Linked DNA regions of Arabidopsis thaliana. The protein of the gene in region 2 purifies or fractionates together with the protein of the main gene of each other region. This does not show direct contact. Each region holds a gene or a part of one and is shown on either strand. Other genes may lie near its edges.

The links.
Region 1: the proteins of MEE5 (region 2) and AT5G15610 fractionate together in Arabidopsis thaliana (co-fractionation; one large-scale study listed by BioGRID). This does not show direct contact.

The regions. Positions count from the first base shown.
Region 1 is NC_003076.8:5,077,640-5,082,749, forward strand, and holds AT5G15610 (Proteasome component (PCI) domain protein), read left to right. Parts: upstream 1-1,818; 5' UTR 1,819-1,939; coding exon 1,940-2,032; intron 2,033-2,332; coding exon 2,333-2,462; intron 2,463-2,558; coding exon 2,559-2,697; intron 2,698-2,808; coding exon 2,809-3,021; intron 3,022-3,104; coding exon 3,105-3,243; intron 3,244-3,400; coding exon 3,401-3,551; intron 3,552-3,650; coding exon 3,651-3,760; intron 3,761-3,850; coding exon 3,851-4,105; intron 4,106-4,191; coding exon 4,192-4,290; 3' UTR 4,291-4,595; downstream 4,596-5,110. Other genes in the region: SP1L4 (SPIRAL1-like4), read left to right, coding at 766-1,056, 1,132-1,224; AT5G15620 (F-box/RNI-like superfamily protein), read left to right, coding at 4,826-5,110.
Region 2 is NC_003070.9:1,898,070-1,905,438, reverse strand, and holds MEE5 (Ribosomal protein S5/Elongation factor G/III/V family protein), read right to left. Parts: upstream 5,489-7,369; 5' UTR 5,332-5,488; intron 5,207-5,331; exon of another isoform or gene 5,143-5,206; 5' UTR 5,010-5,142; intron 4,928-5,009; 5' UTR 4,916-4,927; coding exon 4,175-4,915; intron 4,089-4,174; coding exon 4,020-4,088; intron 3,916-4,019; coding exon 2,722-3,915; intron 2,611-2,721; coding exon 2,512-2,610; intron 2,399-2,511; coding exon 2,240-2,398; intron 2,124-2,239; coding exon 2,038-2,123; intron 1,954-2,037; coding exon 1,755-1,953; intron 1,677-1,754; coding exon 1,566-1,676; intron 1,475-1,565; coding exon 1,268-1,474; intron 955-1,267; coding exon 856-954; 3' UTR 542-855; downstream 1-541. Other genes in the region: AT1G06210 (ENTH/VHS/GAT family protein), read right to left, coding at 6,453-6,836, 7,017-7,298. UniProt on the Arabidopsis thaliana protein: Splicing factor involved in pre-mRNA splicing and component of the spliceosome. Essential for reproduction. In female gametophyte, is necessary for the egg cell and central cell fate determination and hence reproductive success.

The DNA of each region.
Region 1 (5,110 bases), on a different chromosome or scaffold from region 2:
GTTGAGAAATATAGCCCAACACAAATTGGATGGACCTCAAAAGATATTGGGCTTACGTTTGTAGTTTCCTTTTCTCAAGAGGCCTAAGCCCATTCCAACACTTTCATCATTTTTCTTCTTCTTTAAAATACTTAGCAATATGGTATAGTTCGAAATTTTAAAAATGGAATATAAATCTTGTATCATGGCCTCCCTCTTTTCCCTGTCAATGATTTAGATGATAATATTGATAATCCACAATTTCGTGGGTTGTCACTATTTCCTCTGTGATTGGAATCTTTTAATCTATAAAAAATGACAATTGTTAAACATAAATGGTTACAAACAGCTTTGTTGTACCAACATAAAAGAATGTTTTAAACGGCTCATGATTAATAATCATTTTGGTCCATCAAACCGGTTTTTACCCAAAAAAAAACCGGGTAAAATTTAAGCGATTTACCAAACAACTAACCCCACACGTGCCTACCATAAACTTCATGCCTATTTCTCACCACACACTATCTTACACGTGTAGATTGTATATATACACATTCATGTGTGTATCTCCTTGTTCCTCTGTTTCTTTACCTTTACTTGCGGCCAATCGTAGAAGAAGAAACAAATCAGGAAAAAAAAGGTACAAAAAAAAAAACTCTCTCCTATGTGTCTTTAATGGTTTACAAGTAATCAAATTAATTATAGATATATTGATCTGGATTATGTTTACAATGTTACACATTGTTAGAATTTCAAGAATCGGCGGCGGAATATTCTCGCCGGAAAATGGGGAAAGCTAGAGGAGTTAACAGCGGCGGCGGAGAGAGCTCTCTCGGTTATCTTTTTGGTTCCGGCGAGTCTGTTCCCAAACCAAACAAGCCCAACGCTAAAACCGGTTTTACCACCACCACGACCACCACAACAACAACGGATGGAGCTGGAGGTAGACCCAAGACCACGACCACAACTACAACAACCGGAGATAAAAACAAGACAGAGGAGAACTCGGCTGGTGTGAGAGGAAGTCCTAATAATTACTACAGATCAGATGGACAAAACTGTGGCAACTTCCTCACGGTAAGAGTTTTAAATTCAAGTTTGATTGAGGAACTTGAATTTAAAACTGATTTGGTTTTGTGGTTTGAGAAACAGGAACGACCATCTACGAAGGTTCATGCTGCACCAGGTGGAGGATCTTCTTTGGGTTACTTGTTTGGATCTGGTCCTTGTGGATCTGACAAATGATTTCTATTTCCACGACAAACATCTCATGCATTTGACCCTTTGAAAAAATGTAAAAATTGTTCTAAACTTTATTCTTTATCCTTACAAACTGGTTTTGAGGATTGTTTTGAATTTGGCCATTTCTTGTGTTCTTGAAAAAGCTACGAAGCTTTCTCAATCTTGAGATCTCCAGAATGTGTTTCCAGCAAAAGAAAATCATTTTACAAACTTTGCTATTGGTTATACAACTATTCAAGTTCCATGTTCCTTGCTCGGTCACCATTCTCATAACAGCTTCCTGAAATTCAACCTTTTTTGCATAAACAACAGTGCAATGTCTCGGACTAGTTCATTACTTGTCTTAACAACATGGATGTTTCAAGCCAAAATTGATCATCATGTTTGACTTGCAGCTTCTATCTATCAAACAACTGTTAAGTATAAACATTTGAGATCATTTAACCAAAAGAACACGTACAATTAAGCGGATCACGGTGGCTAATCAAGCCGGTCACCAAATTATACGATTGATCCTGACCGTTAGATTGTGTACGTTAATTTTGATGCACAAAACCGTTTCTTTCCCTCGTTATTTTATTATTAGACCGGATCCGGTTCAATTCTGAACCGAGAAAAACCATAAAACGTTGATTAGGGCTTTCAATTTGTTGCTTTGTCTCTCTCGAACTTGTGCTAGGGATTTAGGATTAGCGTTAGAGACTCAGTCGAGCAGAGAATGACGACGATTGTTCCCACCTCCGAAGAAGATCCTTACCTCGCCATTGTTCGTTTCACTTCCCAGCTTGCCTGGGCTGATGCTGGTCCCGAGGTCGGTACCAACCTCTGTTCTCAATCATCGACTAGTGAATACGATTGTCTATTTCGAAAGTTGCTACATTTCGTTATTGGAATTTATGAGCAATTTCTGGGTATCTTTGTCTTTATGCGACCTTAATTTGGGAATCACTGATTGTTGAGGCGTTGTGTTGATAAAAATGAAGTCTGAATTGAGCAATTTAGTGTTTTAGCTACCATGTGTCTATTGCAATCTCACTTGATCTGATTGTTTTAATAAAAATTGCCTCACTATGGAATTGTTTAGTTGATTATGATTTCTTTTGCTTATTAGGTCGCAGAGCCTGAAGTTTCCAGGCTATGTAAGGAAGCAGAGGAGTCTATAATAAATGGGAAGTGGCTGGATTTGGCAACGTTGATGGTAACTTCAGCTGACTTGGTATCAGCCAAAATCTCTGAGAAAGGTCTGTTTTTTTGTGTGTGCAGGTCTATATGTTTGTTAGTCCTTTTTAACCATAAATAATATCTCTTTAATTTTGATGGTGTTTGCCTCTTATTAGATCTTGAGTGTACCTACACCATCATTTGCAACCTTGTCAAGAATGCGAACAGTCCTGAGGAAGTCCTTGAAATGGTGAAAGCTATAGCTGCTAAGGTTATTCAACAACCAAACGACAAAGCTTCATTGCGTTTGAAGATGTATGATCGTGTGACTCTTTGAGCTAATCTCTCTTAGGAGTCTTTGAGCATCTATTTTAATGTTTCATTTTTGTGTTATGTGTTTCTCATCTGTTGCTTGTCTCTGTGCAGCCTCTTCAATCTATATAATCTGGTAGACCACCCAAATGCTCGTTTTCAAGTATACATGAAAGCTCTGGAACTGGCTGTAAACGGGAAGGTTACCGAGTATATTGTACCTTCCTTTAAGAAGATTGACAGCTTCTTGAAAGAGTGGAACATTGACATCAAAGATCAGCGGGAACTATTTCTTGCTATTGCTAAAGTGCTTAGAGAAAATAAAAGGTACTGCAACAATGTTTGTTTCTTCTTTTTCCTTTTTTTAAGGTATACCAATGTCCTCATGGGATTTTTAATCAATATTTCAGTTTTGCGAAAGAATCCCTCCAGTTTGTGACAAATTATTTGGCAACTTTCTCCAATGAAGATACCCAAGTCCTGAGTGAAGCCAAGGAGGAAGCTGTACGAGCAGTTATTGAATTTGTCAAGGCTCCCAGTATATTTCAGGTATCCTAATTCATAAATCATTCATTCAAATGCGTAAGATTTTTGCACGTTGACTTGTTACTGTCATTGTAGCTTGTAAGTGTTAACTACTGCGCCTTTTGTTCAGTGAGGTCTTTTACTGGAATTACATCCCTGACTTTTGTATTTTGAATTGCAGTGTGATTTATTAGACCATCCAGCTGTCGCACAGTTGGAGAAGGATCCTAACAATGCACCAGTTTACCAGCTACTGAAGATTTTTCTTACTCAGAGGCTAGATGCATACATGGAATTCCAAAATGCGAATTCAGGATTTCTGCAAACATACGGTACTGTTCTTATCCCTTTACCGCTTGACATGATCCTCAGATGAATCGAATCCTTCATTCTTTAGTGAACCCATAATAAGCCATAGACGGTATCTGCAGGACTTGTCGAGGAAGACTGTGTAGCAAAGATGAGGTTGTTGTCCCTAGTTGATTTGGCCTCAGATGATTCTGGCAAAATACCGTATGCCTCGATCAAGAACACCCTACAGGTTAGCTTCTTTTCTACGAACAATACATTAAATGTTGATAACCTTTTTTGCGTTGCTTTCTCAGACTCATCGAATTTGTCGGGGGTGCAGGTAAATGACGAGGAGGTTGAATTGTGGGTGGTTAAGGCAATAACTGCAAAATTGGTTGCTTGTAAGATGGATCAGATGAACCAAGTTGTAATTGTCAGGCAAGTTTCTAATCTACTTCTATTTCGATTTATATGTGTAAATCCAAAGTCACACATTCTCGTACTTCATATCTGTTCATGTATCAGCCGCTGTGCCGAGCGTGAATTTGGACAAAAGCAATGGCAGTCTCTTCGAACAAAGCTAGCAGCTTGGCGGGTAAAATATAAAACCAAAATTTGAAAATCCTGCGATATTGAAAATTCGTTGTAATAACAAGATGTTTCTTGTTCGGGTATGTGCAGGACAATGTTAGGAATGTAATCAGCACGATCGAATCGAATAAGGCAACAGAGGAAGGTACTCAGACATCATCAGCAGCTCAGGGATTGACTGTCCGTTGAAATATATCTCTGAAGAAGAAGCTTCTCAATCTAAAGAGTGATCTGATATTGTCATCTCAAAAGCTTTATTGAATTCTTTGCAGAGTTCTTTTGACCGTTGGATCTTTTTGATTCCGGCCTTCTTCTTTGTGTTGGCCTCTTTTTGTCCCTTAAATTTATGCGGAGACTTGCGATACATTGTTTAGATAAATTTATCACCAATGCATGAATATTGGGAGTGGCTAATAACAGCTGGCGCAAAATCATTGGATTAAAAAATAAGAGCTTTGTTTTAGTAGTCGAGTATAAAATAGTGGATTCAAATTACCCCAGTCGTGTTCGTTTCTTTTCTTTGCTTTCAATAAATGTCACAACTCCGCTCTAGTTATTCGTCAATTCCTCTTTGATTCGCGTCAGAAAGCTCTCGAATTGGCGTCGTCGATCGTATCACAATTTCAATATTGAATCTCGTGTTGGCTTCAGATTTCTTGTTTCGATTAGAAAATTGAAGTTTTTTTGGTATTGATCGATCGGTTCTCTAGGGTTTGGGATAAGTATGGATAGATTCAGCAATTTACCAGACGATGTTATTTACCACATCGTTTCTTTTCTTTCGGCAAAGGAGGCTACGTGCTTAAAGTTTGTCTCCAAGAACTTTCAGAATTTGGTTACTATCAAACGAAACGTTGTTTTCCATCATTGGGAAAGTTTCAAGAATTTTGTTGATGGATTATTAGCTGAACCTGCCAGTTACCGTATAAAGAGATTCTCTCTGAAATTGGTGTCTATGGATTTTGCTCAGTATAATATTGTCAACGATTGTCTTTGCAATGTGTTGAAG
Region 2 (7,369 bases):
ATCATTATCGTCGTTTGGTTGATGGAGCCAAATGGATATAACCAATGAAGATAAGGCATGACGTTTTCAGAGTTGGCAATGCACATAAAATAAGGTGGAGGAGACCAATCTAAAACCTTAAACGATGTATATATTAATCCACCAGGGCCTTAACTATATATTTTGTAGCTTTATTCTATGTATAATAAGTATAAGTGGTTGCCGCCACGTCCACTTCGATTTGTAAAGAGCACGTCAACGTAAAAAGCTGATTATGGAAGCATGAAATAGACGAAAATAGTAAAGCACAACAAATCTTTGAGACAAGTAGTGACGTTTGACGAATTAACCGATTTTCATTGGAGTAAAATAAGTCGTCTGTGTGCACTAAATTAAATTATGAAGAAAAACTTACTTATATCTAGATAGGTTTGTGCCATTGACCTGGTTTATCTTTAAATTTAGCATTTTTGAAGAATCAAATCTTAGTTATGCAGAAAACTCTTTGCGGAAATAGGATCTGGATCGTACGTTCTCTGTATCATATGTATAATTACTAATCATATAGACAACAAACTATGAGATCATCTTATAAATGATAGTGTCATAACCTAGTTCAGTTTCCCATAATCCAATAGTAGTTTACAATTTTACAAAAATTTGTGAACATTTCCTGTCAACTATTTGCGAGTCATGTGTGAGTGTGACCATGTGGACTGTTGAGTTCATTAAAATCTCTCAACTTACAACGTAAATTTGACACATCAATTACAAAACTGATCCACATTTTCTTGTTCTCCTTTCACATATATAGAGAAGAGAAGATACTACTACTAGTCCTGAATCACGATTTATATGAAAAAAGTGCAGAGATCATCAAATCATCTGCAGATGGAGATCGCCTGTTTGCTGGGCAAGCTCTACCATCATCGCTTCATCAAAGAATTTATTTCCGCTGACGTCTTCGCTCATTCCCTGCATAACCAACAAATTATACATATCGTGAGAGTCTGAAACTGATGATCCAAACACCCAACGAGTCATACAATATAACTAGCCTAGGATGTATCCAGCAAATTATAGCTGGTGTTACTTGGTTAAAGAGTAATTAGCAAGGGCCGGGTTTGTAAACAGTAGTTTCGGGGATCCTTTGGTTTGTGAGGGTTTACTGGGGTCATTTAACCAAACACTAGAGTAACAAATCAGTTTATGGTTTCATTCGTATCTTTAACCGCATGAAACCCACTAAGTTTTGGGATGTGCATTGAAACAAAGGAAATCATAATACCTTTCTACGGCGGGTCTTGACCATGAATTCCCGAGCTAGATGCTGAATAGGAGCGGGCTCAAGTGGGCGCAACTGGATGGCTTTGTCTAGAGGGTCTCCTGGCACAATGGCCCAGTGATCAAACACAGATAGGCAAAAGGCTTGTCCCTGAGTGTGGTACCTCAGATCTGTCTCAAACCCAAAGGACTCTATCACAGGCAGAAAGGCCTGCATCAACACCAAAGAATATACTCAATGAATCATCACTTAGTCAAATAACAGGAACAAAGTAAGGAGAAAAGACACAAACAAAACTAACCTTCACGATATAAGCTGGAGTACCGGGTTGAGGAACATCAGATGTGACATGCCCACGTCTACGTGACAAAACTGTGTAGATTGCAGTTACACAGTCGATTGGTGTTTGTATCTGCGACAAAACCATAACTCTTAGTTATCATTTTAAGAGAAAAAATGTGACGAGCAAAAATGGAAAGGGATTATGTACCTCCACATAGTAGACAGGTTCCATTAGCCTTGGAGTTGCCATTAGAAAAGCTGAATATGCAACACGTCTTGCTGTTGGAATCATCTGACCAGATCCTCTATGCAATGGCTCTGGTGCTATCCGTGCATCAACAATCTTGAACTTTACATTTCTGATGGGCTCATCACAGAGGGGACCTTCACGAGCACCCCACTGGAACCTGCAAGAGGAATAAAACGAAGCCACTTAGCTAAAGCCAACAAAATCGAGTAAAAGAAAAGTGTAACAGAAGAAAGATGATTACCCTTGAACAATGGAGTCTTTCACTGCCATCATCAAGTTCCTGTCCACCTCAGTTGGAAGGGTGTCATCCAATAATATGTTTGGCCCCTGATCAGTCGAAAATCAACAATCAATGAAATTGTCAAAACAGACATAAACCAACCATAACAATAAAGATAAAGTAAACCCCAGATTGCAGTGTTTTAAGAATACAAGCATTTCACCTGTTTGTCAGGGCCAAAAGCCCAGATGGAACGTGCAGCAAGTAAATCCCAGTCATATTTCGTCCTGAAGAAGTCACCAAGTTGTTTTCTGTTCCAGTCAATGCTTACAACGCCATTCTCAATGTCCTCTGCAAGTCCTCTATCCAATGGCTCTGCAATCTTTAGCATGAAACAGATATCAGATTTTTCACAAAGTAATTGTGCTTGAGCACCATACCAAACATCGCAGTCTAATATATAAGAGATAATAGTGGAAAAAGAAGATCTCTTACCATAGTTATTTTGTTCTTTTTGTTTGGTGTCTCAGCAAAACACTTCATCGACGAAGATTCAACCACTGTCTCACAGAAGGAGACCACCGGATCTGCAACCTACAAATTTAAGAAAGCAAAAGGATCTTAGCTATCAAACAGCCAAATCAGCAATTTGCTTGCACACCGGAATCACAGTCATAGAGCCAAATTAGAGATACAATTAGATACCTTTACTTCGACCTCTGAATAGAGCTCCCTGAGGTCCTTCATGATTGAATCCAAGTACAACTCACCTGTGCCTAGAATAGTATGTTCCCCAGACTCCTCAACTTTGGTAATCGCAAGGGGATAGCTTTTGCTAATTTTCCTAAGCCCTTCCACCATTTTAGGCAGCTCACTAGGATTCAAAGGCTCAGTTGCAGTCTTGACTACTGGGAGGGTATTAAATTGGAGAGCCCGGAATATGTAGACATCTTCATCATAGCTTGCATTACACAGAGTCGCAGTTTTCATGATGGATGCATCGACACCTTCAATTAAAACCCAGGAACCGGGAGGGGCACTGCTTACTGGTATTCTATACCTAGCTTGATATATCCATAGCTTCGTCACTTCTTTTATAGTCATGTCCTCCTCATCCTCAGGTGAATACCCTTCTCCTAGTACACGTACGCTTTGCCCTGTTTGAAGCCTACCACTATAAACTCTTCCAAACACATCAAAAACACTAGTATCTGATTTGGGGTACAACTTTGTCACATTAACCATGAGAGGTCCAGATGGATCACATTCTACCATTGATTCATAAATGGGGGAATCTTTGGTTCCGGTATATGAATGGTCGACCTTCCTAGCTGCAGCCTCTCTGGGTGAAGGAATGTGCTTTACCAACATATCAGTGAACCCTGATGCCGAACCAAACACTGAACTACAGGCTAACCTAAGTAGAGGTCTGACGTTCAGCTTATATGCACTATTACTCAGAGTCACTCCTAATTCTGCAAGGGTGGTCTCTACACTCTTCTTATGTTCACCTATCACTTGGCTGTATATCTTGTATAGGGGCTCCAGAATAAACTGAACAAATGCTCTTTCTCCACCACCTACTGGAGGACTTCTCTTGAATACCCTAGTATCAGAGTGATAATATACATCTCCCCAAAGTCGAGATGCAAACTTATCCACGTCCATGGCCACACCATGAAGCTTGGCATACATTTTAGCAAAAGATTGTAATGTGAAGGACCATCCGGCTGTACCACTGGCAAAACATACATTTCCAGCTGCAGGGTCTATAAGAGGTAAGTCTCCAGCAGTTGTTGAAGCAGCAGATATGTGGTTATTAATGACTTCAATTGTATGCCTCAGCTTGTAGTAAGCATCCCTTGGAGGTAGTTTGAGCTCAGTTATGAGCCTGTCAACCTGTTGGGGGAAAAAAATTGACAAAAAGCAAAGGTCAAGCAAATGTATGGAAATATAAAATTTCACACAGTATCTCTTAAGTTACACGTTGAAGCATGAAGTACCTTATTGATAACAACTACAATAGGGAGATGGTCCTGGATTGCATGCCGTATAGCTCTCTCTGTGTTAACCTGAAAAAAGATTATTAGCGTCAGTACAAATAGTATACTTCAAAAAATTAAAAATACAGACCAAAAAAGAGAGAGTAAAGACTTACCATCACTCCTTCAGCAGCATCAACAATCAGAACAGCACCATCAGCAAGTCTTAAAGAAGCAGTCATTTCGTCAGAGAAATTGACATGTCCAGGGGTATCCATGATATTGCACAGGTATGATTTGGATCTACTGTCCTCAAGGACAAGAGACATTGGAACCGCCTTGATTGATATATTTCTCTCCTGCTCATCGACTCGTGTGTCTGTATATTTCATATGCTTCTCGTTTTTAGCATTAAAAGTAGACATATGATGCGTCTGCTCTACCAACATATCCATGAAGACAGTTTTGCCGTGCTGTAGATGCCCCACAAGAGCAACATTCCTCACAAGCGCAGGATTAGACATGAGGCCGATAAGAAACTGTGTTGACACATACGTTGCTTGATCTTTGACCCCCACCTCAAATCTAATATCTCTAACAGGTTTGATAATGGGTTGCTCAAGAGGCTGCTCATCTTCATCCATAACCAAGGTCTCAACATCCTCACCATAAACCTCCTCAGCAGTAGGGTAGTACTTCTTATCCTCAGGAAGAACAATTTGGTTCTCCATCTCAACATCATTGATAGTGGTAATCCAGCCATTAGAACCCCCAGGCCCTTGTTCGCCATCGGAACCATTTTCTTCAAGATGCTTATCTTGGAGATCTTCATCTTCTACTTCATCATCACTATCTCTGTCAGACTCAATCTCAGGTCCAACATAGTTACCAAACTCATCATACAAGCTACTTTCCATCTTTATGTAAACCTGTCAAAAAAGAATCCCATGAGCAATCAGGATTTTGTAGCAGATAAACAATAACGGCAAAAAAGTCAAATGAGTGCATTACCACAAAATCAAGCTTTTGATAGATCTATCTGGGTTATTTACTATAGCAATTCTGCAACATATTTTATTTAACCCATTGGCGAGTAATCTCCTCTAATGCTCAACACCAAGTCCAAGAGAACACCATGAAAAAGCTAGAATCAACCAGAAACTTAAGGTAATTAGACTAGAGCAAAACCCTAGGAGAGAATCGAGCAGAAGCTTATGCTAAGTTGGACTAAAGAAAAACAACAAGGCGAGAGTCGAGCAGAAGCGTTGGAGTAGAGCAATAACCTAGGGTAGAATCAACAAGCTGAACAAAGTTAAGGAGTGAGAAGACGAACCGGTGGGGAGAGAGAGCGAGAGGCGTTGCGATAGCTAGAGGAAAATGCGAGTTGGCTCGGCAATAGGGTTTGTCGCCACTGAGACTGTTATCGCCGGAACAAGGGAATGAAAAATTTAGATTTAGGTTTTGATTGGAAGACTCTACGTCGGACAGAGAGTTTTAGTCGGTATATATTGATTAAATTATAGTAATTGAAATCTATTTGTAACGATGTGGGATATGTTGATGGGTCGGGTCCAATTATATGTCAATCGGCCCAATTTAGAAAAAATTGAAACGTCTAAACCAGAACGTAAACCGGGTTCACTATGTTTACTGCAGAAAAAATTCAGTAAAAGTTTTAAAAGATGTTTGCGTTTTGCGATGGATGAAGCAAAATTAGTCGTATGTCACTTAGGAGTTCATTTTAGATTGAAAGCTGCGATTTGAAGAAGATAGTAAGCATAACAAGATGGTTATAATGATTACATGAAGACAGTTCTTTACTCAAGTGTAGTGGGAAGTATCATATACTCTTCAATCGGTACAAGCCCTTATTTGGCTTTGTTGGTGACAGGGGTAAACTTTTGGAATATCACTGTGAAGCATCGTCCAAGAGACAGTGAGAAGTATCGTATAGACATATACTCTACAATCGGTACAAGACCTAATTTGGGTTCTCTAGTTGGTGATAAGGGTAAACTTTTGAAATATCCCTGTGTAGCATCGTCCAAGAGACCAAGACTCCGATTATTATTTGACTTGAGAAGACTAAACACATTAAACACATTAAAGGTTAGACTTCGTTTTATCATTTCGAGCGAGTTTATCGGAGAGTGAGGTGAATTTTATCAAGCCATTTATATAATCCAGAGGAGATGTAGATACTCACCTCTCAACACATAAGCAATAGGCTAAGTGCAAACCAAAACACCTCGTATAAATGTTTCGGGTGAAGATTCACCTACGGTTTAACAATGTCTAAGAAACCACTTTAAAACAGAAAGTGAGAAACGAAGCTAAAAAGGTTCCACACTTATAATGGAAGTACATTGTTATAATTTAAAAGTAAACCATCAAGAACAACTCTTCGCAACATTCTGATATCCATGTCGGAAGAAGACAACAAACACAGACTGCTTATTTTTCATCTTCATCACTCGAAAGCCCCAGTTCTATTTTCACGGCCTGCTTCTCTTCTTTGACGGTTTTGTTGGAGGATCCTGATGCTTCTGAATGTTTTTTGTCATCATCAGCACCCGTTTTCTTTACAGGCTCTTGTTCTTCTTGTTCTGTTGGTTTCGGACCAGTATCTTTGCTTCCTGATGATTCTTGTTCCACAATGGAGGCTTTCTTTTCGGTTTCATCAGGCTTCTTGTAACTAGATAAAACTTGTTGGAGCTCATCATTCAGATGCAGAGCCTCGAACAGGACTCCCTCGTCGTCTGTTGTACTCTCTATGATCATTTGAATCAATGGCTGCGATTGCTTGCATTTCTCCATCAGGCTAACCGTTAGATCGTCCTGTAACCATAATATATATAAACCTATTACTTATCACTGTCCTGTCAATTTCACTTTAAGCACATATATCCAAGGAAACAATAATGTAAACCAGGAGATACTCATAACTCAATCCATATTCCATAGACATTTGTTAAGGAAAATGACAAAAGTTAGATGAGCAGACAACGTAGCAACTACCTCTGTGTGATTTGGCTTTCCTTCAGTATTCAACATGCTAGAGAGCAATTCGAGGCTGTTCCGTGTAATCTCAATCTGTTCTTTCTTATCCTTTATCGATAAGTTCCCAAAGTTATAGTCAAGACCATCATCGTCCCCAAGAGCCTGTTCTTGATTAGGAACCGGATAGCTACCAGGTGGAGGCACTGGAACAGGCCGTTGCATAAGAGACTCCAGAGAACTTTGTCCCGGCATTGAATTCTCTTCACCTCGAGCGTGTAATCCATTTTCGCCTTCCAAGCTCTATGAAACAAAAGACAAGCCGGAGATTATAGGCATATGAACAATTCCATCTTTGCATAATAAGCAAATAA